Linked DNA regions of Arabidopsis thaliana. The protein of the gene in region 3 interacts with the protein of the main gene of each other region in a pairwise test. Each region holds a gene or a part of one and is shown on either strand. Other genes may lie near its edges. The genes, in order: DIR1, ATRPAC42, CERK1 and AT1G62120.

Region 1 (6,107 bases), on a different chromosome or scaffold from region 3:
AATGGGTAAGTTCCTCATAACACCAAAACATTTGCAACCAAAGTCTCGTTTCTTTGCATTCATCATAGTTTATTTCTGTTCACAGGTTCACCAAAAAACCCTCCAAGTTCTTGAAGAAATCGCTTATTAGTAATATCTTTTGTTACATCAAGAAAGACTCGCAGGTAGAGATTGCGTCCTGAAATAATCTTGATCGGTATATAATTTGTAATTTGGTTGGTTGATATGACATATAATGTCTCTCTACTAAACTATGCACATCCATTAAACCTCAAAAGTTACATGTGACGTAAAATAAAATTGGAAAGGGATAGAAGAAAAAAAAGAATAATGGTAGTGATATTAACATATCTTTAAACCCATTCGAAACGGATGGGAAAAAATAAAATCGTAACTTTTGTCCTATGTGTACCATTCAGAGTTACACAATGATAACAAACTAAAATATTTGATGACACAGTATATAACAAAGATTAAAATATTCGAGTAACCAATTTTAATTGATTTCTTTCCAACGGTTTAATAGAGGAGACATGCGAACGAGACACGAGTCCTATAGGGTAGTAAATGAAAAGTGATTAGTAGGGGCATATTCACGTAAATAAATCAAAAAGTAAGGGTAAAAATCCACGGACGTGAGAGCAATTGTTATATCCATTTGAAATCCTCGTCAGGTTACACGAAACGATTCCGCTTCTCCGCTTCCTTCATAAATATCTCACTCATCGTCTCTAGATTGTTCTTTCACACGCAATTTTCATTTCTCTCTTAACCGTAAACGAATCTCTCTTCTCAAAGTTTTATTTTCTCTCTGCGATGGCTCAAGAAGATGTTACTGCTGTTGCTACTAACGGTGCTGGTCCGGTGGAGACGCATCTTGTCTTCACTGAGTTCAAGCAGATGTTGCTCGTTGAAGCTCAAAAGGTCGGTGACGCTGTTACTTTCTACAAATCTGCTTTTGGTGCGATCGAGTCTGGTCATTCTCTTTACCCTAAGCGTAAGCTTGACCAAGAGCTTCCTCATGTTCTCTCTTCTGAGCTTAATCTCGCTGGCTCTTCCTTCGTTGTTTGCGACGTTTCCTCTCTCCCTGGTTTTTCTACGTAAGTCTCTCTCTCTCGTTTTGGTGTTTAGCTTCTAGATCTCCATGTTTTCTGTTTTTTTTTTAGGTTTTTGTTCGTTTAGTGTTTGATTTCGTTTTAGATCTGGTTTTAGGTTGTTTTATTAGAAGAAATCTGGAGAATAAATCATGTTTAGAAGTTATTCCTCTCCCTTAAACACGATTTTTTTGTTCGTTTTAGATCTGGATTTAGGTTTTTGAAATGAATAGTTTTTGGAAACTTTTATAACGCTTAAAAAACTATTTTAAGTGGATGATTGTGCCTTTTCTTAAATACGATTACTGTTTACTTATGTGGTTTTGTTTCTTTTTTAAATCGTTAAACAGTGCGAAATCGGAAGGTTCGGGAGTGACTTTTCTTCTCGGAACTAAGGATGCTGAAGCCGCCGTTGCGAAAGCTGTTGACGCCGGAGCTGTGAAAGTGGAGGTTACGGAGGCAGAAGTTGAACTGGGATTCAAAGGAAAAGTTACGGATCCTTTTGGTGTCACTTGGATCTTCGCGGAGAAGAAGACCGTGATCACCGACGAGAACAAAGAGGTTTAGAATCTGTCGTCGGATCTAATTCTTCGTCGGTTTCTGAACAAAAAAAACTATCTATTATCCTAGGTTTATGCTTTTATTTTGTCTTTTGTGGAATCCGGTAATCAGTAAACCGGATCGAGTAGGCTAATGACTTTCGGATTCTAATTTCACCCCTTTTGACAAACTCTAATCTTGGTGAAATTGCATATTAATCTCGGGCTATATTATGTTTTGTTGATGATTTCGCTTCTCTATCTATCTTCTATAATCGTTCTGTGTTTAATCTGTGTTCTTTGTCATTTTTGTTGGTTTAGTACTAAGGGTATAATCGTCTATTTGGAATGAAAATGAAATGGTTAGTGATTAGATAAGACGGAATTAAGAATATTTGTTGTTTTGGTGTCAGAGTGTTGAATACTGTGTCAGAGGTAGTGAAACCATAAACCTCTGTATTTGTGCTTTGTGGTTTCTCTCTATCGCTTATTGGTTACATATTTTTCGAAATTGCCCTTCCGTGTTTGGGCCTTGTGTAGTTTTCGATTGGTCCTCTTTCTTTTCTTTTGACCAGTTTTTGGGGTTAACCCATAAACGCCATTTGGCAGAAAATACGATTTATTAATAACATCCGATATTTAGAATAGGAGTAATAAAAAACATAAACACACGTATACAGAGTCTTTTAACAAGTTGGGGCGTTGGCTAGACCACACTGTTTGGGGAGAGCAGAAGCGAGTTCAGGATCAACACCGAAAGAACCGAGCCATGGAGAGTTCTTGTAACCACAAAGACATGCAAAATCAGCGTGTTGCAGAGCGGTGCAGCAAGGCTGTGATGGGCTCGTCGGATTCTCCTTGCTAACCGCTGGTTTGCACTCATTCAACTCATCCTGGCTCATGCCGCAGAGATCTATCGCTACTGATGTATCGACCAACATAGCCATTATCACGATCATCGCCATCATAACCATAGCTGCTTTCTTGCTCGCCATATTATTATCCTCCTCTCTCTTTTTCTATATGTTTGTTTGTGTTTGTGGTGTTGAAATGAATGTGCATGAGAAGGTGTATATATATCAAGTTTTAGAGAAACCCGTGAACCAGATTGGATTGCTCCATATAGTCACGGGGATGTGTTTTTCCACTTTACTTTTGGGAGAGGGTCTTTTGTCATAGAATCATAAGCTTTCGGATTCTTATCAATTATCAAGTATCGATTACACAATTTCCAGTCCACAAATCTTTTACTACAAATGGAAAAAGAAAATTCAACTTGCACATTGTATTTGTATATAAAATTCTCTTTTAATCGAAAAAAAACACATTAATAAACATCCGCAAAATACTGGGCCTGATATGAGCCCAAGTAAGAGTACTCTAAGAAGTTTCACAAATTACGAAAATAAAACAGTTAGCGAGTATTACTGTTAAGTGTCAACAACAGTTAGCTACTTTAACCACAAAACAAATGAGAACATCAGTTAGTATATAAACGGGACAAAATATAGAACGAAGAATAAATCCAAATCTCTAGATTCTCAATTTTTTTGCTGTTCTATTTTCAAATAAATGTTTTATTTTCTTTGAGAATTTCAGTCCTATTAGTGTAATTAGTGATAAACTCATAAGCATGGCACATACGAGATGATTATTTGGTCTACGAAATGGTTTAGTGGATTTAATATATGTATTTTTATAGTTGATACTTTTTCACCATCTAATCGTTTTTCAACTACAATTACTGTTTTTACCGGCGATCACTGTTTTACCGAAACCTAAAAAGTAAAAACTGTATAGTGGCAATCATTATTTTACCTAATTCACAATTATCTTCTTTTTGTTAAAGAGATTTTAGGAAAAGCAAATTAGGCCTTGGCCAACGAAGGTTAGAAATAGAAAGACTATAACAAATGACCAATTTTAAAGGTATATGAGCCAATGGAAAAGAATAGAAAAAGGAGGAGTTCATTCTTCATAGTCAAAACCATCAAAATTTCATTTGCAATTAGATTGAGATCTATTGTTCATGATGAATTTGATGCAACAACAGCATTTTCATGACTTTGTTTTCTCTATTTTCATACTATTTTTTGGTGAACTTTTTGTGACGTTTTTATGATAAGTATTTTTGATTTTATAGGTTTAGATCATTGATATTATTTTGTGAAGTGTGAACCATAGCTATGCGATAATCTCGGTATGAATCTAAGCGAATCCATTAAAATATCCTTATATTTAATTAGAATATTCCATTAAACATGGTAAATAATAAACAAACAAAGGAAAACACCATAATGCTTAACAAGTTGGGGCGTTGGTTAGGTCACACTCTTTAGGGAGACTAGAAGCGAGCTTGGGATCTACACCAAAAGAACCGAGCCACGGAGAGTTTTTGTAGCCACAAAGACAAGTGTAGTCAGCATGTTTCAGAGCGTTACAACAAAGTAACGATGGGCTCGTCGGGTTATTCTTGCTCACCGCTGGTAAGCATTCATTCAACTCTGCCTGAGTCATGCCACAAAGGTCAATCGCCACTGACCTCTCAACGACTAAACTAGCCATCACCATTACAATCACCATAATTGCCACCTTCTTGCTTGTCATTTTATCCTCTTTATTTTTTATATATTTGTTGTGTTTGTGGTGTTAAAATGAATGTGCATGCAATGGTGTATTTATTATTAAGTTTTGGAGCAAACCCGTGAACTAGATTGGATTTTCTTTCTTCACTTTTGGGATAGGGTATTGGTCACTTGGATTCTTATTATTGCTGCTCTTTTTTGTTTTTTTTTGGTATTTATCAATTATCCACAATCTCCAGCCCACAAATCTTTTACTACAAAATGGAAGAAGAAAATTCCAGAGTAATACAACTGGCACATTGTGTAAATTTTCTTGATATTGATAAACATATGTTGCTTCTTACAAATATTTGTGGATTAATGGCAAGTAATTTGTATGCCACTATAACCAAGAAAAAAATACAACAGTTATTTGTATGTCACTTGCTGATTATTTGTCACTTTTTTTTTCCGGTTAAAATTTAATTTAAATTTATAACATAATATTATATTTACTTTTAAAAACTAATTTAAAATAAAATATATCTCTATAAATAGTAAACAATCAAACAGAAAATTAATAAAACTAGTCATGAATTATTGTTTTTGTCTAAATCTTATTATCCGTACTTGCGAGTATCTAAATTACGTTATTTGTTATTTACTTGATAACGATGAATCTTGTCTAAGGCGGATACAAAACCAAGTAATGGATGCAGGGCAACATATATTTATTAATGTCATAGACCCTAATTACAACTTATATATAACTTTTTTCAACTAATACACTTTATAACTACAAATATTCTTCTTATTTATATAGGTAAACTAATCAACATTTGCAAATACTTTTTTCCAAAAATAACATATATGAAAAAGGCATTTGCAATTACTGGGCCTGATTTTAGCCCATGAAGGATTTGTGCTTTTCTAGTGTTTCGATGCTTTTTAAGAGCTTCCCAAACTAGAATATCATGTAACTCTCTCCTTGTTCATTACCCATCAATTCCAGATTTTTGAAATTAAAAGGAGCTTAAAAAGCTTATTGCACATTTCAGATTTGCTCGCAAATAAATGCTAAGGAAAAAATAAAAAATTTGAAGTTGAAAAATAAGAGGGAAAAAAGGTTTAGCATGTCTTATTTTATTTCTGGATATTTCAACTTATTTTATCTATTGAAATTCATTTTGGATGCTATTGTCAGTTTTATAAGAACTCAATAACCAGACAAATCTGTATAACTAAAATATTTTCCAGATAAAGTTGATTTAATTTTAGATTTGAGTTTGTTTTGGTCAAAGTATTTATGATCGTAAACAACTTAAACCTAATATAAAATCTAAAGACCTTAAATCCAGATTTTACTTGGGTTACCAAAACCTGAATAAACCCAACCCAAAACTTATTCTGGCCACTATTAGCTACGTTTTCTTTATTGGCAACAAAAGTTAGCTACTTTAACCACAAAACTAATGAGAATATCAATTAGTATATAAATGGGACAAAACATAGAAGGAAAAAAATAAAAAGAGAACGAGAACGAGAATCTCTCTCAATGACTCGAGTGTCGAGACTATTCGGAATAAAAGAAGCATACAAAGTTTACTGCAGTTTTCAGACTTACTCACAAATGGTAAAGTTAAAAAGAAAGTAATATGAAGTTGAAAAAATAGATGAAAATTCATTTCCAAAAAAAAAAAAAGAAGATGAAAAATAACCTTTGACCATTGTCTTAGACTAGCCTTTCCCTTCATTCTCTGTGAGAAAATCCAAATCACTAGATTCTCAATTTCTTTACTTTTACTCTTCTATTTAAAAAATAAATAAATAAGAATTTCAGTCCTATTATTAGTAATATTCATGGCACAAACGCGACGATTCTTTGCTCTACGATTTTGTTTATTCAATCA
Region 2 (7,652 bases), on a different chromosome or scaffold from region 3:
AGAAGCAAAGACGAAGACACGTTGGAGACGTGAAGAGAGGAGTCAACGATTAAGAGGAGGAAGACACAAGTCAACAAAGGAGATCGGGCTTACTGTTTTGTCTTAAGGAGACGTTGGGCTACTTGGTTAAGCCCAACTATGGTTCTATCTTAAGGAGAGTAGTATGCAAGAATATGTAAGTAGTAGAGTGGCTTGCAAGAGTCTAGAGTTAGTTATGTGTTTAAAAGCATGCTTGTGTGTGTAAGTGTGTAAGAAAGTAGTAAGTAAGTATGTGTATGTTGTGTAAGAGAATCATGCAAGCTTTATTATCAATGTACTCGTTTAAAGTGCTTAAACCGTTAAACGTTTCTTGTTTTCTCTTTAGAACAATGAAGAAGAATACGGAGTTATGGACGAATGGTGTGGGGAAAGGAAGAATTAAAATAACCACTAAACTCTTGCACACACATTATGCACTGGTCTTCTGTATTTAGAAATACTTTCTCTTGTTATAATTCAAAGATACACAAACTAATAATTACCAATTCAATTTACAAAATATAGTGTCAAAGAAAAAGATCAAAAAGATTCAAAAACATTGTTTTTTTTAACAATGGCTGGTCATAAAAAGAGTCTTACCCGTCTTTTCTTTGTTTCAGTAATTGATTATATTATCATTGTTCAGCGGATTAGGAGAAGGAAGCAAATATATAAACTATAAAGATATGATAAAAGACAGAATTCCAGCTTGCGGCAGTAAAAGCCCCCAAAGAATGTGTCAAATTTCCAGTCAACCTTTACCATCGTGGTTGTGAAATTGCTACGCGTTATCGTCGTGAACAACATCCGGATTCGGGTTAAGAATATATGTATGATATGATATGTCTAAACCATTTTCTATAAACTATGAATTTTTTTATTATTATTGATGTGATATTGTATATCGTCATACCGTCAAAATTTAATTATTGTAAGATACTTTTGTTTTATTTTGTAACCTGGAATTATTTTTTTTTATATACTAATAAATTAATATGTTACCATGCATAGCTTAAACTTCTTGTTAAAAAAAAAAAAAAAAAAAAAAAAAAAAAAAAACTTCTTGTAATAGTGGTATTTACTTGTAAATCATAGTTAGACGAGTATTTTGACATTTGGTAATTGAATCCGAAGAACTTAAAATTGTTTGGTCAAAACTTCTAAACTCTTTCAAAAACTCAGCACCCCTATTTGTGGTTATGTTGTAAAGATCCACTAATAACCAATAAAACATGTGAGTCTTGTGATATATTGTAAAACATGTTCGTTATAAAATTCACAACCACATTGTCGAACTTTGTTTATATTCCCTTATCATAATCAGTCTTACTATTAGCATAATCAACTGTTTATGTACTGATGTCTTCTAATTAGAAAACTTAAAAAGGTAAAGAAAAAATAGAAAAAGAAAGAGCTCAGTTAAGAGGCCATATCACCAGATAAACTGGAGAAATGCAAAGGACCCAACCTTTACAGAAACCGATTTCATCACAGCTCTATTGCACCAGCCGGGAATCGAACCCGGGTCTGTACCGTGGCAGAGTACTATTCTACCACTAGACCACTGGTGCTACTTGTTTAAATGTTACTTCTTCAGTTATTTATACATAAACTCTCATAGTTCATATTTAATGAGAACATTTTGTATAATCTAATGTGGCAGGGATCTATTCTACCACTGACGCTATTTTAAGTGTTCAATGAAACCAAAAACTACTATTACCAACACACACCTTGATTGGCACAATGTAAGGAATGGCGTCAGTGTTCTAGTGGTAGAATAGTAAAACCAAATTAAACCGAAGCAGATTTCCAAAATTGGTTCAGCTAGGAATTTTGTTATGAATCAGAACTCAGAAGGCTAATGAAAATCCAAATTGAACAACAACCGTATAAATAAATATGTCAATGTTGTTTGTTGGTAATTTATCAATAGGAGGAGAAACATTGATAGACAGACAATTCAAAATTGAACTAAACCAGAACTCAAAAGTCGGTTATAGCTTCACATTTAGCTTCCAATATCTTCACAGCTTCAGTGAAGAGAACCTCTGGAGGCAGTGATCCGGTGGACTCAATGTTAACTGAGAAAAAAGACGACAAGAAACTCAATTACGATATCTTTCAGATCATGAGTAGCAGAGTAAAAGGAATGGGTTTTATTTTTCTCTTCTTACATATAAAATGGTTCTTAACACTGCCAAGATCCACATGGTCTACCAAATCATCGTCTCTTACGCATTCCTTACACAATGTGCACTTACGTGGCTGCGCTACTGTTGCCCTTTTCTTACCTGTTTTCCACAAGTCAGTATGAAATCAAATTTAAGTAAGTCATGCAGCCAAGTTCATCAGCTTGCATAAGATTTTATACTTCACCTTTTCCCATGTCTTCAATGTCGAAAACATTCTGTGGGCAGACGTTTACAAGTCGTTCAGCAAGTTCATCCTCAACTTCCCCACGTAGAACCACCTAAGATAGTATAAACAAAAGCATTACGAAACATATATATTGGGATGAGGAAAGACAAAACAAAGAGCTGTTTCCCATAAAGCATATGATAGATTGATGTATATACTTCTCACCTCAGGATGCATTCTATACCAAGCAGTCCCTACTGGAGACCACTTTGCATGTGTTTTACCAATGCCCTTAACCGCATGAGCTTCGAGCTCGATTTCCTGGGAAAAAAGAGATAAAAGAAGATGCACATGTTTCATCTCTCATTGCAAGTATGGTCTGCTTGGGTGTATATAAAAAGAATGTACAGAAACACTACCTGACCAGGGGCGAGTTTTGCTATCAAGATATCGAGGTCGCATGGAGTGATAGGATTATTAGCAAATTCAGGTAATGAATCTTGGCTGCAACTGAATGAAGTGTAAGTTTTTGGCTTTGAGGTTTTATTTTCCGATTCTCTCAGAAGCTCACTTCCATTTGGTAACCATTTTAAATCACTCGTTAAAACTACAAGAAAACGAAATGATATCTTTCATGAGAGATGGAGCTGATAATAAAACAAGAAATCTTCTGATGCTAACTAATGAACATATATTACCTTTAAGACGTGGTCTATTTTTCGGACATTTCACATGGAGTTTGAATACAATGGTGTTCTTTTCATTCGCCTGATCATGTTCTATCATACACAGATAAAGAAGTAAGCTAATCAGAAGAATTATCATCATATGTAGATGGATCACATACCACTGAAATATATGCTTACCGGATAAATATTCAAAAAGTCTTGGATCTGCGGCAATTGGAATAAGACCCATCCTGTGAGCAAGAACTTCGTCTATAATAACCGATGTGTTGTACGCTATCAACACTTTTTCAATAGCCATTGAAGGAACCTGCAATAAAGAAAGAAGCACTTTAAGCCAAAGATTACAACAATGAGGGATTCATCAGAGGTTGTATGAAAACTTGACAGACCTCAGCTATAAGGATCCTTCGGAATGCATTGGCAAACGCTGCATCAATACCAATCATATCAAATTCCATATCTGTCTTTGTGAGACTAACCACATCAACTTTGAAGTTATCATAGAAGTTTCCTAGCTTCACATTGTCGTCCTCTTCCGTAGAAGAAACATAGGTACCCGAGTAAATGGCACTCGCAGTCTACAGAAAACACAAACACAAGATTAAAGACTTCAAATTTCAAACAATCACTACTCAATATCATCTTGAATTTGAAAACAAAAGGTGTATTCTGGTAAAACACTTAAGAGCCAAACTCGTAAATTCACAGCTTTTCACAGGAAAAAACAAAACTTTTACTCTGTATCATGAACACAGCAACGATAGAACTCAAACCCACATGGGATCATTGAGAAAAGCTATAAAATTTGTAATTAGATAAGCTTATAACCAACAAAACAGAGCATAAAAGATTGTAACTTTGAACGAGAATAGTTCTTACATGAGCAGGAGCGTTGTTTTTAGAGACGACACGAGTTTGCTGGGCTTTGAGATGTGGAGGAAGTCCGGCAGGGACGTCAGGGAGATCGTCTATGTTGAAATTTTTGGCGAATTGTTTTTCTGCTTTAGTCACCATCCTTGTCTAGGTCTATAGCAGAACTAGGGTTTATCAAATTGAGAAAGAGAATTGAAGGGTTTAACAAAGGAAACCACAGGGGGTGAGGAAAGTAGTATTGGGTCAAAGAGTGAAGTCGAAGAAGCTTACCTGTGGCCGAGAGAATTGAGCAATTTAGAGAGAAAGAGAGAGTAGGAGGCGGCGGCGAGGAGATGAAGAACAAACGGTGAAGGGTTTTGAAAAAGCCGCCGGTTTTATTTAATCCCTTAACTCTTTCCGGTTCGAATTAAAACGCATTATTACCAAAAGAAACAATAAAAAATTCATTTCAAAAGAATACTTCTTCTTTTTTTACATTTCAAAAGAATACTGTTTAACACTAAAAATAAAGCCATTACTTTAAAAAATAAAAATTTATTCCACAAGATGAATACTTTCTTTTGCTCATGATTTTGTTTTATAGCAAAAAACAATAATAAGAATTTATTCTTTTTCGGTGAATTGTTTAATTTAAAAAAAAAAAAAAAACTTTTCTGCAATCAATTCGCAGCATATTGGTTAAGCTAAGAATATAAACTAAAAACATATGTAAACAACAATTCTAGGAATGACTCCTTTTGTTTTTGGCATCTACTGTGAATGATAGGCTTTTTTGAACTCTAATTAATATTGGTCAAAAAAAAAATGTCGATGGGACTCTTCTACGTTAGTATCTAAGAATGTGGCAATAGCACTACTTAATTTAGAGCAAAATAATAGAAGAAAACACGACACTTACTTCATCAAATTTTTGTTGGGCAATGAGAATGTTGTCTATAATAAAGTTTCCGGCTACAAAACACATATTTGTATCTCGGATATCAAATACAGAAGAAGAAAAAAAAACTTTGAGGTGCAGGCTTAGAATCTTTGAGATCATCTTATGTATAACATTACAAAGGCTAATACAGTAGGTCGGAATCTTGACATTTCCTAGAGTTCTATCTCCTTCGGGAATTAGGTAAATATTGGAGCATCAATGCGATGAGCAAGTCATGACCAAATACTACAACAGTTACAAGTTACATTCCTTTGCGTAGCAATCAATCAGCAAATGGTATATTGGTAATTTACTGACACTCTGCTAATAGAAGGAAGAGCTCTTCATCGGTTATGGCTCCCATCTCCATTGCCCTTTCCAACACACTTAATCCTCCACCATCCTCTATTGATGGACGAGCACCTCTGTCAAATTCAAAGAAGAGAGACACTAAGTATCTACTCAAAGTGCCCCTCATGAGATTTATTAGTTAGTGTGTTACCTTCTCAGCAAAACCTTTGCAAATGCGTTGTTCCCTGATGCGATGCAATGGTGTAATGGAGTTCGTCCGTGGTAATCTCTCATGTTTATGTCAGCCCCGAACTGCAACAGCAGTTCAAGCAAGATTGGGTCACCGCTTTGACACGCCACATGCAACAATGAGCAGCCTTGAAGACAGTTTCTTGCTTCGTTCGAATTCTTGATTCTCTGACACGCATTTGGATCGTGCCTTTTCTTTACTTCATCTGGTGCATCAACATGGTGGTGGTGATATACATCAAGGTCAGTAATATCATCGAACTTGGTATTGATGATATTTGCATCTGCTTTTACAATGAGTCGGTAGATGTCTCTTATGTTCCTGCTTTGAACCGCTTCCCATATTCTACTTGAGGCAGTAGAATTTGCTTCTCTTTCATCTTTGACAACTAGTGCTTTCTCCAGGTACTAGCTAGGCATAAACATTATCAGCTTTAGTATCATAAGCCTTTTCTATTCACAAGAATATGCTCATTTGGATGATGCGTCAAGTGACATGAATCTGAGGTCTATGTATGCGAAAACTTTAAGAACTAAATCTCATACCTTTCCGTTAATATATTTCTCCTTCAGAGTAAACCAATCTTCTGAAGATGGTTTCGAAACTGATGCAAGTGTGTCTGTCGATCCCTTTTCACTGTAAATATTCAACAGAAGATAGGATCATAGGAAAGTAAAGATCACCAATCTCATGATTTTACACAATTGGGAAAATAGAAACTTGTAAAAGAGGAACAGATGATTTTGATTCAAGGAATGTTATTTCTTGATTGTGTTATAGAGACAGTCTTTACTTATATAAACAATCTAATTTTCCTTGAGAAATTATACCTGTCATCGTCAAGGTGATGAAGTAGCTCCTCCCAGACTGAATTACAGTATCCGTTGCCTAAGTTCCGAAATAAGTCCAAGATTGTAGGCTCCCATACTTTCACATCCAATGTGAGCGATCTCACCTGCAGACATTCTTTGACATTAGCTAAATATCTAAGCTTCATACACAGATGTTTAATTCAGCAAGAAATATAAACACTTCATCTTAAAAAATTGAGCTCTGCAAATTTTGGTTGATGCAAAGATATATAGCACATGGTTAGCTTTACAACAAATGAGCTTATACAACCTCGAACTAAATGGAAAGAAGCTACGCAATATCGTACCAAAATGAAGAAATTTACCTTGGATATATGAACGCCGAGATTCCTGTGAACACCAGAGCATTCAATGCACATCAAAACTCCAAGATTCAATGATGCCCAATCGGGGTCAGGTGCATTGCATTCTGCACAAGTGTTATTTCCAGGAATTTCTCTGAGTATTGTAAGGACGTCATCCCCCACATTTAGTCTTTGATTATAATCTTCTTTTTGATTCAGGGTGAGGTTTTCAGTGGCAGGACCAGAACTAGTATTCTTTTTATCCAAGTATCTTGCTGGTGACTGCAGAAGATATTAGATTCTATAACAACACAAAATTTTCAATTTGAAGGTAAAAGAAAAGTATGAGACTCATATTGAGTAAACCTGCTGCAGAAAATGAGAATTCAGACGTATTGTTATAGCTGCTGTGATCTTATTTACCCAATCCATCCTATCAGCTCCATTTTCAGCCTGTAGCATATAGAAATAAATTGTGTTGGCCTCTTGATGCTATATTTGCTCCTTCACGTTTCTATATCTAATAAATTTAGTACCTGTAGTGTGTAAGTCTTTTGAGGAGATATAATTCTAAAACAGAGTCGAAGATCTGTGTCCTCTGCGTCCAATTTTATCAGTGAAGTACGGAGATCGATCATATTGCAATCTAGGCTTCCCTGTGAAGCTGATCGATTGTGTCTTGTACGAAATCTCCCAAAGACGCCGCTACTATGCTCTCCTAAACCACTGTAGTAATGCTGAGATTTCTATAAATAGAAAAAGATGATTAGAAGGATAGAAACTGAGAAAGTGAAACTTAAAATAAAAGAATACACAGGTGAGAGAGATTTGTTTAACAGTCAACAAATATAAATATAGCCAAGACATGAGGGAGTGCTAGTATATCTACATAACTATAAAAATGTACGAAATTGGACATTGGAAATTGAACTATAACCAAGTCTCAAAGAGCTTATGGATCTCTTTCATGGAAACGAGGAAGTGAAAAGGAGCTTGGCAAACATACCGCTGATTTATTACCGGTGTTTCTGTAATAGTATAGGGATCCATGGTTGTCAAGCACAAAGAATCTCCTTTTCCAATCAGCTCTCAAAC
Region 3 (8,661 bases):
GTGAGGAAAGTATTATGCGAGATTGACCAAGTTCTTTTCGACGAGTGTTTAGCCAAATTCCAAGTAGAAGAAGTGAATAAAACAGAGGTTAAAGCGAAACGGGAAAGGACATGGCAACGGTTAGAAGATTTAGCTACTTCAAAGACCGTTGTAACCAACGAGGCAGTACTGGTTCCAAGATTTGTGTCCTCAGTCAATCTTACTACAAGCAGCTCTGAGTCCACAGGGTCGTAGTAGGCTCTCGTAGGTTACTATGTACTTGTAACAAATATTTGTGGTCACTATAGAAATGGTTCTTGAGAGACGACTGTATAATTATTTTTTTAAATTATAATCTTTTGGGTCAAATTGAGAATATTTGATATTATTTTACTGAATTATAATAAACGCCGTTAAAACTCTCGTTAGTTAACGGCTGACTCTGAAGTGAAAACTGAAAAGTCGAAGGGTCTCTTTATATTTTCAGAATCAAAATCTGAAATTTATCTCTCGGTCGATCCAGTCTTCGTGAGTGACTTCGACGACGACGACGAGTCACACTACTCTTGAGCTTCTCATACTTCGTAAGTTCACTCTCCTCTTCTCTAAATTGACAAACTTTTTCTTCGTTTTCTGCTATTATTGACGACGAGACTTGATTTTGTTTTGAAATGAAATGGTTCAAGTAGCTGACTTCGACTATGTTCTTTTGGGTTTTTGTCATTGAATCTTACTTGTCTGATTTGGTCGATGTTTAATCAATTCAACACTTAAAGATTCAATTTTTGGATTGACACTTGCACATTTTTATTCAGACCCAGGTTGATTTGGGAAATAATGGATGAATCTCTGGAGCATCAAACTCAAACACATGGTAAGTAAATTTTCATAGATTTAATCTCTCTGAATACATATATATGACTTCAATATGTTTGATTGGAGTTTTTTTGTTGTCCCATATTCAATTGGATGCTTTGTTAAAGGATAAATGTCTATCAAATTATGTTGACTGCGTTATTCTTTCTAAATCATATTGTGAATCTTGGAACAAAGCATGTATACAACAAATTTGTTAGACTTGATAACTCCTTTTCTGTTTGTTAAGAATTGAGAATGACTATTGGGGTTGACTAATGCATCTTTTGTGGCTCCAGACCAAGAGAGCGAAATAGTTACTGAAGGAAGTGCCGTTGTGCATAGTGAGCCATCTCAAGAGGGTAATGTTCCTCCTAAAGTTGATAGTGAAGCTGAGGTCTTGGATGAGAAAGTCAGTAAGCAGATTATAAAGGAAGGTCACGGTTCCAAACCATCCAAGTACTCTACATGCTTTTGTAAGTACCCTTTAGCTTTCTGTTGATTGGATGTTGATTTTTCGATTGCACTTGTTGGCCTATTGCTACTGTTTATTTGAATCTTTCTATCTGACCAATTTCATATTGGCCATAGTGCACTACAGGGCATGGACCAAAAACTCGCAGCACAAATTTGAGGATACATGGCATGAGCAGCAACCTATTGAATTGGTTCTTGGAAAAGGTATGTGGCTGTCGAATATGTACTCTACACCTCCATTTCGTTAGATGAATCGTCATTGGTAAATTTGATGAGTTAGCTTGTGTATTATATGAACCCAATGAGATGGATATTTGGGAGGAAAAAAGATTGAGTTTTGTATTTTTTTTGCTTCAATGCTGATTAGCCCATTTTAACGTCACTATACAATTTTTTTTATAAAAAAGATTGTGCACTAAGAGTGAAATGTTGTCTGTGAGACAGAGAAAAAAGAACTAGCCGGTTTAGCCATCGGTGTTGCTAGCATGAAGTCTGGTGAACGTGCGCTTGTGCATGTTGGCTGGGAATTAGCTTATGGGAAAGAAGGAAACTTTTCTTTTCCGAATGTTCCACCTATGGCAGACTTGTTATATGAGGTGGAAGTTATTGGGTTTGATGAAACAAAGGAGGTAAGTTATTTCCTATACCATCATCTTGTTTCCTTACCAAGACGACTCCACATCCAAGCTTTATCCCAACCTCCTTGCTTACCTCTCTGACTTAGATGATGTATTGAACAGGGAAAAGCTCGCAGTGATATGACTGTAGAGGAAAGGATTGGTGCAGCAGACAGAAGAAAAATGGATGGGAATTCTCTTTTTAAGGAGGAGAAACTGGAGGAAGCCATGCAACAGTATGAAATGGTTATGCATCTCTCTCTATCTCTATCTCTCTTTCCAACAATTACGGTCAAAGTTTAGGTTTTCAGGCATACTTAGTGAGTCTGCTCGAGGCTCTTGTGTCTTCTTTCGGCTTTTGATTAGTCATGGTTTTGCTGTTTCAGGCCATAGCATACATGGGGGACGATTTTATGTTTCAGCTGTATGGGAAGTACCAGGATATGGCTTTAGCAGTTAAAAACCCATGCCATCTTAACATAGCAGCTTGCCTCATCAAACTAAAACGATACGATGAAGCAATTGGTCACTGCAACATTGTAAGACTCATCAAACCATTCATTTGAAGAAAATCATTAAAGTTCATACTCGGTTTCTCGAAATCTAATCAAACTCAAAACCTTATCAGGTGTTGACAGAAGAAGAGAAAAACCCAAAAGCACTGTTCAGAAGAGGGAAAGCAAAGGCAGAGCTAGGACAGATGGACTCAGCACGTGATGATTTCCGAAAGGCACAAAAGTATGCTCCTGACGACAAGGCGATTAGAAGAGAGCTACGAGCACTTGCAGAGCAAGAGAAAGCCTTGTACCAAAAGCAGAAAGAAATGTACAAAGGAATATTCAAAGGGAAAGATGAAGGTGGTGCTAAGTCAAAGAGCCTTTTTTGGTTGATAGTGTTATGGCAATGGTTTGTTTCCCTTTTCTCCCGTATCTTTCGACGCCACAGAGTTAAAGCAGATTAATGTATGAAGAAGGGTAACAATTCAACTCTAAAAGACCAACGTGAAAGATCTACCCCCATTTCTTATTAGTGAGAATTTTGAAAAATATTTTATATAAGAAAAAAAAATAGTCTCTATTGTTTTCGATTATAAAGTAACTTTATATTTTGATCCAAAAAAATAAATTTTTAACAAAAAACATACAAAATTCGAACGTAAAATCTACTTCCTTCAACAGAAATGGCGGTCTTCATAGTTTTTGTCTTTGACCAAAGACTTTCAAATTCCAGCTGCTAGTTGCATTAAATGATCTTAGTATTATTAATTAATTAAGAAACTTCTCAACAATTAACAAACACTAATCAGTAATCATCATTCTCTTTAGTTGAAAAAAATAGTCAACGTTTGATTAAGTCAACCTTTTTCGTCTTTGAATCCATCTTCTTCCCCACAGAGCAACGACGAAACAAAAAAAACAGAGACCCTTCCTCTGGGGAATCTAAGGAAGCTTCAAAATGAAGCTAAAGATTTCTCTAATCGCTCCGATTCTTCTTCTCTTCTCATTCTTCTTCGCCGTGGAATCTAAGTGCAGGACTAGCTGTCCTTTAGCTCTAGCTTCGTACTATCTCGAGAACGGAACAACACTCTCCGTCATCAACCAAAACCTCAATTCTTCAATCGCGCCTTACGATCAAATCAATTTCGATCCAATCCTCAGGTACAACAGTAACATTAAAGACAAAGATAGAATCCAGATGGGCTCTAGGGTTCTTGTACCTTTCCCTTGCGAATGTCAACCTGGTGATTTCCTAGGGCACAATTTCAGCTACAGTGTTCGACAGGAAGATACTTACGAAAGAGTCGCGATTAGTAATTACGCGAATCTCACGACGATGGAGTCGTTACAGGCGAGGAATCCTTTTCCGGCGACTAACATACCTCTCTCTGCGACGCTTAATGTATTGGTGAATTGTTCTTGTGGTGATGAGAGTGTTTCGAAAGATTTTGGTTTGTTTGTTACGTATCCGCTTCGTCCTGAAGACAGTCTCAGTTCTATTGCGAGATCTTCCGGTGTATCGGCGGATATTCTGCAGAGATATAATCCCGGTGTTAATTTTAACTCCGGGAATGGAATCGTTTATGTGCCTGGAAGAGGTACAAAGATTGATCTTTGATGATTTGTGACACAAATTGTTATAAATGTAGTAATGATTGTTGAAGTTTATGTACATGTTCCTGTGTTTTTTGCAGATCCAAATGGTGCATTTCCACCATTCAAATCAAGGTTGTTTTTGTTGTTGTTAAGATTGTATCTTTGTTCATTTTGATATCTATTTACTGATGTATTTCTACTTCTCTTATGTTTTTTGTAGTAAACAAGGTTGGTTCTTTTCTCCATTTTTGAGCTTTTGATGATTATGCACGAAGCAAGAGGAGACATGGAAGAGTATGTTTTTGATATTTTTTTGTATTAGCAGATGGTGTTGGTGCTGGAGTTATTGCTGGTATAGTTATAGGAGTGATTGTGGCTTTGTTGTTGATCTTGTTTATCGTATATTATGCTTACCGGAAGAATAAGTCGAAGGGTGATTCGTTTTCTTCTTCTATTCCGTTGTCTACTAAGGCTGATCATGGTAATTTCGTGATGATCATATACAAGCAGTTTTTGTCTCTTTTGTTAGCTGGGAGTTGCTTATTATGTTTATATGAAATCTGCTTTTAGCTTCTTCTACTAGTCTCCAAAGTGGAGGTTTGGGTGGTGCCGGAGTGTCTCCTGGCATTGCTGCCATAAGCGTGGACAAATCTGTTGAGTTTTCGTTGGAGGAACTAGCAAAGGCTACTGATAATTTCAATTTGTCTTTTAAGATTGGGCAAGGTGGTTTTGGGGCTGTTTACTATGCAGAGCTGAGAGGAGAAGTAAGCAGATATCTTTTTATATCTTTTTGTTTGAAGCTACTACACATGGAACATTTAAATTATTCGGTTCTTGTATAGAAAGCTGCGATTAAGAAGATGGACATGGAGGCATCGAAACAGTTCTTGGCGGAACTAAAAGTCTTAACGCGTGTACATCATGTCAACCTGGTAAACCCCTTTTGTGTTCTCTCAAGATAATATCTGAGATCAGATGAAGATCAAGTCTTAGCCAAATTTTAACGAATTTGTTTTTTCTTGCAGGTTCGCCTGATTGGATATTGTGTTGAGGGATCACTTTTCTTGGTGTATGAATATGTTGAGAATGGTAACCTTGGACAACATTTACATGGGTCAGGTACGCAATATAAAGACCTCCAAAAGTGAATCATTTTTCGAGAAAGTTGTAAACTAAAAGAGTTTATGTGAAACTAGGACGAGAACCATTACCGTGGACTAAGAGAGTGCAGATTGCACTAGACTCAGCTAGAGGTTTAGAATATATCCACGAGCACACGGTTCCAGTTTATGTCCATAGGGACATTAAATCTGCCAATATTTTGATAGACCAGAAATTCCGAGCAAAGGTACATTCTCGATTTCTCTTTTGTCAATCAAAAGTGAAAAATACTGAAAAGGTTAGATTTTTCCTTTGTCACCGCTCTGAGTCGTTTACGTGTTACAGGTAGCAGATTTCGGGTTAACAAAACTGACAGAAGTTGGAGGTTCAGCAACTCGGGGTGCAATGGGTACATTTGGTTACATGGCACCAGAGTAAAGAATTTGATCTCGTTTACACTTATATACTACTTTAGAGACTACACTATAGTGATGGTGTATATATGTATGTATGCAGGACTGTTTATGGAGAAGTGTCTGCAAAAGTAGATGTATATGCATTTGGAGTTGTCCTTTACGAATTGATTTCTGCGAAAGGTGCGGTTGTCAAAATGACAGAAGCCGTTGGTGAATTTAGAGGCCTTGTTGGTGTGGTTAGTATTATTGTTTCTTCGTAACATTTAGTCTTTCTGATTTAAAGGCATGTATGTGGATCACTTAACAATATGCTTTGTTTATTTATTATTCAGTTCGAAGAATCATTCAAGGAAACCGACAAAGAAGAAGCACTACGCAAGATTATAGACCCGAGGCTCGGTGATAGTTACCCGTTTGATTCGGTATACAAGGTAATATCTCTTCTTGTTCCCTATTCTATTCATCATTGATCATTCTAAAAGAGGGTGTCCAATCCGTTTTTTGGTCCGAAAAACCGATTAAAAGTGCGATTTTTAAAAACCGGTATTCACTGAACAATGTGCTATTCGATTAGCTTAAAGTGTCGAAAAATCAAACCGAATACCGGATTGCACATAGCTAATTTTAATAACGGGGTAAGCCAATTTGGTGTTTTATGTGTTGTGGTATAGATGGCGGAATTAGGGAAAGCATGTACACAAGAGAATGCGCAGCTACGTCCGAGTATGAGATACATTGTGGTTGCTTTATCCACTCTCTTTTCGTCTACCGGAAATTGGGATGTTGGAAACTTCCAAAACGAAGATTTAGTCAGTCTTATGTCCGGCCGGTAGACTCGTTTTCCGGTTTGCTGTTGTTATATAGAAATGATTGTTTTTTGGTATGCTCACGTATATTTTGTCTGTCTATACGAACTTTACATGTCACAACTCACAAGTTGACTTTTATATGATTTTCTATAACGCTCTATATGTCAATTATTCAACGTCTCCGATATCAGCATCTCACGTCAAAGATAATAATGAAATGCATTAAAATTCTCATAAATAAATTTTTTGAAATCGAGTTTGCCGACAAAAAAATCAAAACATAAAAATATAACTTTTTGTGATGGATACTCTCACGAAGCTTAGAACAAGTCTTCCATAACACCAAAGAAATTCGAATGATTTTGTCACATGGATTCCCCAATACATAAAATCTATATTCCAGCTTAGAACACTAAGTATGTTTCTTATTTCACCTAGCTAGATTTTCTTTATTAGAAATAGAGTAATCGAATATTCTTTTACCATAAACCAATATATTTCATTTTTTGTTTTTTTCTTCTGTCAACAACATACAGATACGGCTACATATATCTATGATTTTTTTTCGTTTGTCCATTATTTGTAACGGAATAATTATTTAAAACACACAAAAAGTTACCTTAAACTGACTAATATTAAATCAAAACTTTTTCATTCCAAAAGTCAGATCTCAAACCTTTTTTTTTAACATAATGTGTCCTCTAAACTTTCAAATCAGGGAATAAATAAATACATTAGAAAACGTTAAACCAATATAAAATACAGCCGTTATAATATGAACATAAATAACATGCTAATACGGCGAGACCTATAAGGCTAATAAACCATTATTGCTTCTCTAAAGAAACTGAAAAGGAACCCAGTAACGGACGATGTCCTAAACAACAAAACATTCAATTAAAATACAAATTCCTTAATTAACACTATTACTTTATTTAACACAAATTAATCTCTTTTGCCAGGTGTCCTTCACCGTTTAATCCTCGGTTCGCTAAATTAGTTAATTAATTAATTAAATGGACTTGTAACACCCAAAACGTATGAATCAGCAGAAATCTCACTTCAGTTGAATCTTTGGATCAATTTCCAAAATAAACCCAAACACACAAATTAAAAATCTCATTTTTATGAATGTTTCTGCTTCTTCTTTTGATCCCTAATACTTTCTTCTTCTTCTTCTTCCTCTCCTTCATTCTCTGCTCAACGTTGTTTGACTTCACAGATAGAAACAACAAGACGAGTTTCATCGCTGAGCTCTTGAGAAAGGTAAAAACTTAAACTTTATCTCTATCTTTCACATTCATGTGAAGAATCACTCATTTGTAGAGTTGATTCAGTGTTTAATGGATTTGACGGAATCTGAAAAGACTATGACTAGGATCCAAAAATTCCGATTTCTGGGTGAAACGAGAAATTTATGGAGAAAAACTAGCTAAAAATATTGGCAATTTGGAAGTCCTTGGATTGCAAGGAACCCTAATTTTTTTCGTTTGTTTCAGGAACATTGTGTGTTTCTCTCTAAATCATGGCGACACTAACCGATATCGGAGTCGCAGCAACGATCAATATTCTAACCGCATTTGCTTTCTTCATTGCCTTTGCGATACTTAGACTTCAACCAGTTAACGACAGAGTCTATTTCCCTAAATGGTATCTCAAGGGTTTAAGAAGTAGTCCTATAAAAACAGGTGGCTTTGCTAGCAAGTTTGTCAATTTGGATTTTCGATCTTACATCAGATTCTTGAATTGGATGCCTCAAGCTTTGAGAATGCCTGAGCCTGAACTTATTGATCATGCTGGTTTGGATTCTGTTGTCTATCTCAGGATTTACTTACTCGGGTATGTATATTTGTATATCCTTTCTTCTTTCTTGAATGTTTTAAACAAGTTTGTGATATCTTTGGTTTAATTTGTAGGTTGAAGATCTTTTTTCCTATAGCATGTATTGCTTTCACTGTAATGGTACCGGTTAATTGGACTAACTCGACGTTGGATCAGTTAAAGAATCTAACTTTTAGTGATATTGATAAACTCTCTATATCGAATATACCAACTGGATCATCCAGGTTAAGAAACTTCTTTAATATTTGTGGCTTTAGTTGATTCTAGTGATGAGGAATATTCTGACTAGTATATGTAAACAGGTTTTGGGTGCATTTGTGTATGGCTTATGTTATTACCTTTTGGACTTGCTTTGTCCTACAACGAGAGTACAAGCATATTGCTTCCATGAGGCTACAGTTTCTTGCTTCTGAGCATAGGAGACCTGACCAGTTTACTGTATGCAGACATTTTAAATCTCTTGGTCCACTTA
Region 4 (6,951 bases), on a different chromosome or scaffold from region 3:
GATACTTTTTCAACACTGAGATGACCTCGTCTTCGAGTAGTCCACACTTCTTCAGGGTTTCAATTGTCTGACCAATCTTCTTCTCCGAACTATTCAAAAAGTAAGGACATTTCTTGAACATTGCCCATACATCTTCCACAGCAAAGCCGAACCCTTTATACACATTAACTCTTTCTTCTATTGTTTTGTCGGTGAATCTGTAAACAGCCCTAAGAGCTTGGACAAACTTTGAGGTGGTTGGATCAAAACCCATCTCAACAACCTTCTTGAGTGATTCTTCAAAATTTTCTTTTCCACAAACAGGTTGGGCATCAGAGATGAGCAAGGAGAATAACAACTTCTGAGGCACACCCAAGTCTCTAAGAACCGAAACATTTCTGATTTTATTACCCTGCCTATTAGCCTCTGGCAAAGGTTGACACAAAGTTTCGTACTTGGAACTCTTATCTGCTTCTATAATCTCTTTGACGAAATCATAGTATCTGCCTAGAGACTTTCCCTCTTTCATTCCCAATATTTTAGGAACTGTAGAAACAATCTGAGTGAGCTCAGGGCTTGAAGCTCCTCTAGACTCCAAAAACTGAAGCTTGATATCAAGTGATTTCTCAGCATCTATTAGAAGCAATCTAGGATAATCCGTAATGATGCTGGAGATCTGAGAATTTGTGAACCCATAACTTCTAAAAAGACTCAGAACTAAATCAGGATTGCCCTTGTTCACGAAACTGACTTTCTTTGAGATTGATTCAGCGAGTTTTGTAGCTAAACCCAATGAATCAACGAGGTAAGAGACAGTAAAGTTCTTCACTTTTCGACCATCTCTTGAGCTCAAATCAGTAGCACTAGCAGAAGAATAGGAATTAGAAAAAGCTGATCCATTTTGCACAACAAATCTCAAATGACGCCATTTCTGCAACTGTACCAACCTTCTTCCATGGAGTATCACAGAATACATGACAAAGAAAATGCGAATACAAGAAGAGCAGAACCAACAAATCCCAGAAGTGTAAAAGCGATTCTACCCCAACTATCCGTTTCTATTCGAGAAGAAGACTCTGAAAATTTCTACTAAACTTACGATTGAGCGAGGAAGAAGAGCAAATTCATTCATCAATCAGTGACCCACCTTCTCATAGATTGTTAAAAGTGTGACCTTTTTCTCCATAGAGAATTAGAGAAGACTCAAAGATCCAATTATCCAAATTGAGGGAGGCAAAATTAAAAAATGAGCTCTTTAGGGTTTAGGCAAAGCCCTCGTTTTGTTTTAATTTAGAACTAAAAATAAACATACTGTTGTTATTTGGCTATACTTGTTTTTGTCTCACAACAACAACAGAAGTATTATTACAAGATGTAACAACGACATAGACTTTACATGAGCACACAAGAGTGTCTTCCTCTAAAGGTCACATACTATATGTCCATTTCTTGGACCAGAAGAGTGAGTAATATCCTTCAAGATTGTTTCGTACAAGACTAATTCATCATCCTTCAGGGTTAAAAGTATTCGTGTTCAGACAATCCAAAACCTCTAGATCTCTATTCTAGTTCTACCAATAACCTACATATGTCATGTAGTAAATAGTTGTGTTGCTGTTTCTTGGTTATTGTCCCAAACGGATTTCACATTAGAAGAAAACGGGTTGGATCCGGGTCAACTTAAGATTACAAAAGTCTAAATGGGTTTCAGACACTCATACACAAAATCTATTCTCTACTTCCAAAAGTCAAGCATCAAGATTCACTAATGAATCTAAACCTAACAGAAAACAAAAAAAAAATCCATCCTTGACTTTGCTCATTGTTCTAGGCGTGTCTTCTGATCGGTGAGTGAAACACGATCTCCGGTGAAGATAGCCATCAACTCAGCCACAAGCTGCTTGTCATCATGTTTCCTAACATACATATATAAAAACACCTCACTGGTACTTGTCAAAACAGAGGATATTGGAGGGAGTTCACTTTCGAGCAATCCTTTTGAGATGAGAACTTTGATAACATTACACCTTGGGACAGTCCTCTTCTCTAGGCTGTATCCGAGTACCTGAGGGATTGAAGCCACAGCCTTTAGTGGCCAATTCATCTCCGTCACCAGAAACTCAGTCTTCGTCTTCATCAACTCTGTAGAATATCCAATGCACTGAGGGAATCGCTTGACCATCATCAAAAACTCATCTCTGCTGAATCCTAGGCCTAGAAATGTTTCAACGGAGTTCTCTATCTTCTTCTCAGACTTTGTCAGAATGTTTGGCCACTTCTTGAACATTGCCCATACATCGTCCACAGCCAAGCCTAACCTTTTACAGGCATTGAATTTATTTTCAATTCCTTTGTCGCTTAATCCGTAAAGAACGTTAAGAGCTTTGACAAAAGTTGCGGTGGTTGGATCAAAACCAATCTCAACAGCCTTCTTGAGTGATTCTTTAAATTTTTCTTTACCACAAACATCTCCGGCATCGGATATAAGCAATGAGAATAACAACCTCTGAGGCACACCCATTTCTCTCAACACCAATAAATTTCTGATTTTGTTCTCCTGCTTACTACCCTCTGGCAAAGAATGACATAACTTTTCTAACTTGGAACTCTTATCCGCTTCTATAATGACTTTGACGAAATCATAGTATCTGCTGAGAGATTTGCCCTTTCTCTTCCCCAATATTTTCGGAACTGCAGAAACAGTCTCGGTGAGCTCAGAGCTTGAAGCACCTATGGACTGCAGAAACTGAAGCTTGGGAGCAAGGGATTTCTCAGCATCTAGGATAAGCAATCTTGGGAAAGTCCTAATGATGTTGGAGATCTGAGAATCAGTGAACCCATGACTTCTCAAAAGACTCAGAACAGAATCAGGGTTGCCCTTGTTATCGAAACTGACTTTCATGGAGATCGATTCAGCGACTTTTGTAGCTAAACCTAATGAATCAACGAGGTAAGAAACTGTAAAGTTGTGACCTTTTCGACCATCTCTTGAGCTCACATCAGCAGCAATAGCAGAGGAGGAGAAGGTATTGGAAAAAGCTGATCCATTTTGAAAAAGATTCACTGAAACCCTCAAATGGCGCCATTTCTGCAACTGGACCAACTTTCTTCCATGGAGAATCAGAGAATACATTACAAAGACAATGCAAATAACTCACAGTGTGCTAAATCTGATTCAATTCGAGAAATTGAATAAAGCTCTAACCTTTAGAGCCACGAAGCTTTTTCGCTTCGCAGTTTCCTATATCCTCTGTGTCTGTGTGGGAAGAAGCCTCGCCTCCGTTATACATCGGTGTTACTGCTTGCCGAATTCAAGTTCTGGAGCTGAACTGCGTGTCGCTCAAATTCAATCAAAACAAACCGGATGATCAATATAATTCGGTTTAGTCGACTCGTTCGATTTACTGGAAGCGATTATAAACAACATCCATTGACATGGTCACATGAACGCAACTTCCACTTGGGAAAGTCGTCATCAGATACATGAAGCTTCATTTGGATACGGTTCTTGATTTCTTCAAGTGTTTCTATGCTTTCAAAGCAAAGATCGTCCGATTGATCGAAAAGGGAAAAAACATTTGGAACTAGAGACCGAACCTGACTGGTTTAGTTGAAATGTGAACCGTTATTAACTATTTAAGCTAAAACAAATTGTTGAAATGTGACTACGACAAGAATATAAGTCATTTGAAACTACCAGTGACCGAACCTGACAGGTTTGTATCAAAACTCCGACTAAAACCTGTTATTCTGTCAGAACTCACTATACCTTTATAGTTTATACTGTTTTATGACTATCTATCTATTCACGTGAACATATTATATACAACACATTCTGCTTCTGAAGTAGACTCAATCCTACACGTACTGGCTGAATGATTCATTCCTTCTGGATCCACCTTCCCCGTAGTCTTCGTTCCATTGTCGAAGCGCTGTCATGTTGACAGACTTTGATGAGATGCTCATACTCACCTGATTCAACAACATCGACAACAGTTATACAGTTCTCTGAGCCAGAGACAGATTTGAGAAAAGAAAGCTCACAAGCAAAAATCATACCAGCTCGAGTGCGTTTCTGAAATCCTCCATTTTTAAAACTCGGAGATCAGAACCTCCACTTCCAGCTGGAGGAACTCTGCCTTCAGCCACAGCAGCATCTCGCTCCTACCATAATATATCTCATCATAAGCATATTTTTATTCTATAGACTAGTTTTAGGCAGCATAAAGTTAGTTTTCTTGGTTTAACACAAAGACTACTTACACTTTTTTCCTTCTCCACTATCTCTATGATTCGACGGCGGGCAGCAGTAACACATAGATTCTGCACGCACCAAAAGAGCATGTAACATGGATATATATGAGCATTACTTATCATTTCGTCAGACCATAGCAAAAGGTTAAAAGGAATTACTAGGAATTTTACCTTAAGATCGTTTCCAGAATATCCATTTGTCATACTAGCAACCTCATCAATATCGAAATCAGGGGACAAGTCTTCTTTTGAAAGTATCACCTTCAATATCTTTGATCTACTACGAGCATCTGGTAGTCCCACCATCAACCTGCAGAAGCCAATACCAAAAACTTGTTACGACATGTCAATTTGACAGAAAGCTTAGTCCAACAAGGAAGCTATATATAAATTACCTATGAGGCAACCTTCTAATGACAGCCTCGTCAAGGTCAAAAGGTCTATTTGTGGCTGCAAGAACCAGAACACGTTCCTTTTCATTTGTCCTCAGACCGTCCCAATTTATTATGAACTCATTTTTCGTCTTCAGCCTGTACCGATGTAGCATGCTTTCCACCTACAAGACAGTAAAATATTGTAAGACAGTCAATGCTCTGACTACAAGCAAGATTCGCCCACGAATTGACCATGAGGAATTACCTCGTCCAAAAAGATAATGCTTGGGGAAATTTTACTAGCCAACGAAAAGACAGCTTTGACATATTTCTCACCCTCACTAAACCACTGCAATATTGAGAAGAACACAAGTTTGAACAAGAGATTCCGTGTATAAATTGGTAGAGTCCAACTTTTCAAGGATATTCTGTTACCCTTGACATTGACATGTTGATGAGGTTAGCACCAGCTTCCGTTGCCACTGCCTTTGCAAGCATGGTCTTTCCAGTTCCAGAAGGTCCAAATAAGAGAATTCCGTTACAAGGCTGTGTAGAGAAGTACAGGAGCAGACTGATTAGGAAGCCACCAATCCATAACGTTAACATCTAAATTATAGGAGATAAATTTTTTGAGGAAAGCCAAATTATCAGCTAGTATTACTAATATCGTCATTACTTCACAAAACTTATGAACATGTATACTGGTACACACAAATAAAAGGTCCTTCACAGATCTGTCATCAATTCGAGGCAGGACATAGTGAAACAATATGGGAATTTCCTAAAACCAAATGCGGATAAGACAACCACCTTTGTTAATTGCCCCTTGCAGAAAAGTTCAGGCCATTGAAAAGGAAGCATAACCAGTTCCTTTAAAGTGTCTTTGACATTCTCAAGTGCCCCAATGTCATCGAATGTAACACCAATTTCACTGGGCGGAATAATATCACTTATTTCAAACGTATTTTCTGTCACAATGTCCTGAAAGCAACAGAGAAAATTAACAATTGTTACATGATAGAAGGAATTGCCAGAGTGAAAATAAGTAAACAAAAATTCAATTTCCAAGACGATTTGCTAACCTTGAGAGACTTCTTAGATTCAATTTCCAAGAGTTCTATTCCACATTTTAAGCTGCAAGGATCGAAAGTTCATTCTCAATACTGAAACAGATACATTGGTGAAAATAAGTAAACAACGATGCACAGGGACAAGCTGCCAATTACCTCTCAAGAGACAAAATAACCCTAACATCTGGATCAGCACCAGGATTAGACTTTATATGGTGACTAAGAGCCCATCCAATGATCTTTTCTGCACCTGATGCAGATATCCAAAGTCAACTTTTTCGAAAAGCATTCCATTGTCAACTCTGGTCATCATGCCGAAGAAAGGGAAAACATACTGTCTCTTCGAAGTGTGAGATCCTTCATGCACAGCGTCTCAATGCCTTCACACTCTATACCACATCGTCCCAACACCTAAATTGAGATGCAATTATGAATTCTTTATTAAAGCTTCTGTATTCCCCTGTTTTACAACAGGAAAAGGAATTATGCCATATGAAAAACAGATAGTCTTGTACACCTGAGAAAAAGTAACATATTCTAAAAGGTATACTATCACCAATTTATTTTCGTGTGACTTGAGATGGAAGCAATCAAGTCTTGAAATAGAGAAAAGATAAAGTTATAGACTTTAATGATGTGCTATCTCTGCGGTTGTGCCTCCACAATTACGTCTAACAGCCAAAATGCCACAGATATAATTTAGCTTTAATTTTTGAAGCTAAATATGCAAATAAGGACTGTATCTAAGGAAATCGAAAGATTTCACACTGAGGTTGAAATCCTTAATTTTCAATCTGACCCATCATATGTAAAACTTATTCTGTATCCAGATATAAAATGCTGCCATGACCTTTTTCTAACTACATATTAACTCCAAGAATACAACCAAAAGTATATCGATTCCATATATTCAGATTTCAGATGAAAGATATACCATGCGCAAGTGATTGTAATTAGCCTTCATTTTCAAAGTCTCAGCATCACGATCCAAATGATACTTCCAAGATTTAAGAAGTTCCTCACCCTGGTAATAATTAGATCCATCTAGTCTTTAAGTTTTTTTTGACAGACAACAGACGGGAGTGCTTACGTCAACTAGAACAGCGTAACAGACCTGTGGCATGTATATAGTAACTTTATTCACAAAGAGATCCGTTAGACGTCCAATACCCTGGGAATATTAAGCAAAAATTAATATAAGTCCCACTCTACATGCAGAACTAAACGCCGGCTAGAAGACAGAACTGATAACAGTTAATGTAAACTACCTTCTC

What was found.
Region 1: the proteins of CERK1 (region 3) and DIR1 interact in a two-hybrid assay, tested with the Arabidopsis thaliana proteins (one study listed by BioGRID).
Region 2: the proteins of CERK1 (region 3) and ATRPAC42 interact in a two-hybrid assay, tested with the Arabidopsis thaliana proteins (one study listed by BioGRID).
Region 4: the proteins of CERK1 (region 3) and AT1G62120 interact in a two-hybrid assay, tested with the Arabidopsis thaliana proteins (one study listed by BioGRID).

The regions. Positions count from the first base shown.
Region 1 is NC_003076.8:19,643,998-19,650,104, forward strand, and holds DIR1 (Bifunctional inhibitor/lipid-transfer protein/seed storage 2S albumin superfamily protein), read right to left. Parts: upstream 2,844-6,107; 5' UTR 2,629-2,843; coding exon 2,320-2,628; 3' UTR 2,031-2,319; downstream 1-2,030. Other genes in the region: AT5G48470 (uncharacterized protein), read left to right, coding at 1-5, 86-130; AT5G48480 (Lactoylglutathione lyase / glyoxalase I family protein), read left to right, coding at 817-1,100, 1,445-1,661; AT5G48490 (Bifunctional inhibitor/lipid-transfer protein/seed storage 2S albumin superfamily protein), read right to left, coding at 3,935-4,240. UniProt on the Arabidopsis thaliana protein: Putative lipid transfer protein required for systemic acquired resistance (SAR) long distance signaling. May interact with a lipid-derived molecule to promote long distance signaling associated with SAR.
Region 2 is NC_003070.9:22,396,074-22,403,725, forward strand, and holds ATRPAC42 (DNA-directed RNA polymerase family protein), read right to left. Parts: upstream 4,341-7,652; 5' UTR 4,212-4,340; exon of another isoform or gene 4,095-4,211; 5' UTR 4,083-4,094; coding exon 3,948-4,082; intron 3,647-3,947; coding exon 3,458-3,646; intron 3,376-3,457; coding exon 3,246-3,375; intron 3,159-3,245; coding exon 3,078-3,158; intron 2,987-3,077; coding exon 2,799-2,986; intron 2,701-2,798; coding exon 2,605-2,700; coding exon of another isoform or gene 2,515-2,604; exon of another isoform or gene 2,492-2,514; coding exon 2,398-2,491; intron 2,313-2,397; coding exon 2,196-2,312; intron 2,103-2,195; coding exon 2,005-2,102; 3' UTR 1,840-2,004; downstream 1-1,839. Other genes in the region: AGD2 (ARF-GAP domain 2), read right to left, coding at 5,171-5,285, 5,363-5,808, 5,947-6,037, 6,232-6,356, 6,579-6,839, 6,924-7,010, 7,094-7,303, 7,564-7,652.
Region 3 is NC_003074.8:7,613,253-7,621,913, reverse strand, and holds CERK1 (chitin elicitor receptor kinase 1), read left to right. Parts: upstream 1-3,242; 5' UTR 3,243-3,383; coding exon 3,384-4,023; intron 4,024-4,119; coding exon 4,120-4,153; intron 4,154-4,241; coding exon 4,242-4,249; intron 4,250-4,346; coding exon 4,347-4,502; intron 4,503-4,591; coding exon 4,592-4,785; intron 4,786-4,863; coding exon 4,864-4,953; intron 4,954-5,046; coding exon 5,047-5,140; intron 5,141-5,217; coding exon 5,218-5,369; intron 5,370-5,467; coding exon 5,468-5,556; intron 5,557-5,638; coding exon 5,639-5,774; intron 5,775-5,870; coding exon 5,871-5,969; intron 5,970-6,209; coding exon 6,210-6,371; 3' UTR 6,372-6,557; downstream 6,558-8,661. Other genes in the region: AT3G21650 (Protein phosphatase 2A regulatory B subunit family protein), read left to right, coding at 1-234; TWD1 (FKBP-type peptidyl-prolyl cis-trans isomerase family protein), read left to right, coding at 817-853, 1,134-1,310, 1,426-1,515, 1,756-1,940, 2,052-2,174, 2,315-2,467, 2,557-2,889; AT3G21620 (ERD (early-responsive to dehydration stress) family protein), read left to right, coding at 7,873-8,186, 8,264-8,413, 8,492-8,627.
Region 4 is NC_003070.9:22,958,528-22,965,478, forward strand, and holds AT1G62120 (Mitochondrial transcription termination factor family protein), read right to left. Parts: upstream 3,577-6,951; 5' UTR 3,113-3,576; coding exon 1,799-3,112; 3' UTR 1,612-1,798; downstream 1-1,611. Other genes in the region: AT1G62110 (Mitochondrial transcription termination factor family protein), read right to left, coding at 1-955; AT1G62130 (AAA-type ATPase family protein), read right to left, coding at 3,838-3,951, 4,039-4,143, 4,243-4,302, 4,405-4,543, 4,629-4,789, 4,873-4,956, 5,043-5,153, 5,418-5,588 and 6 more.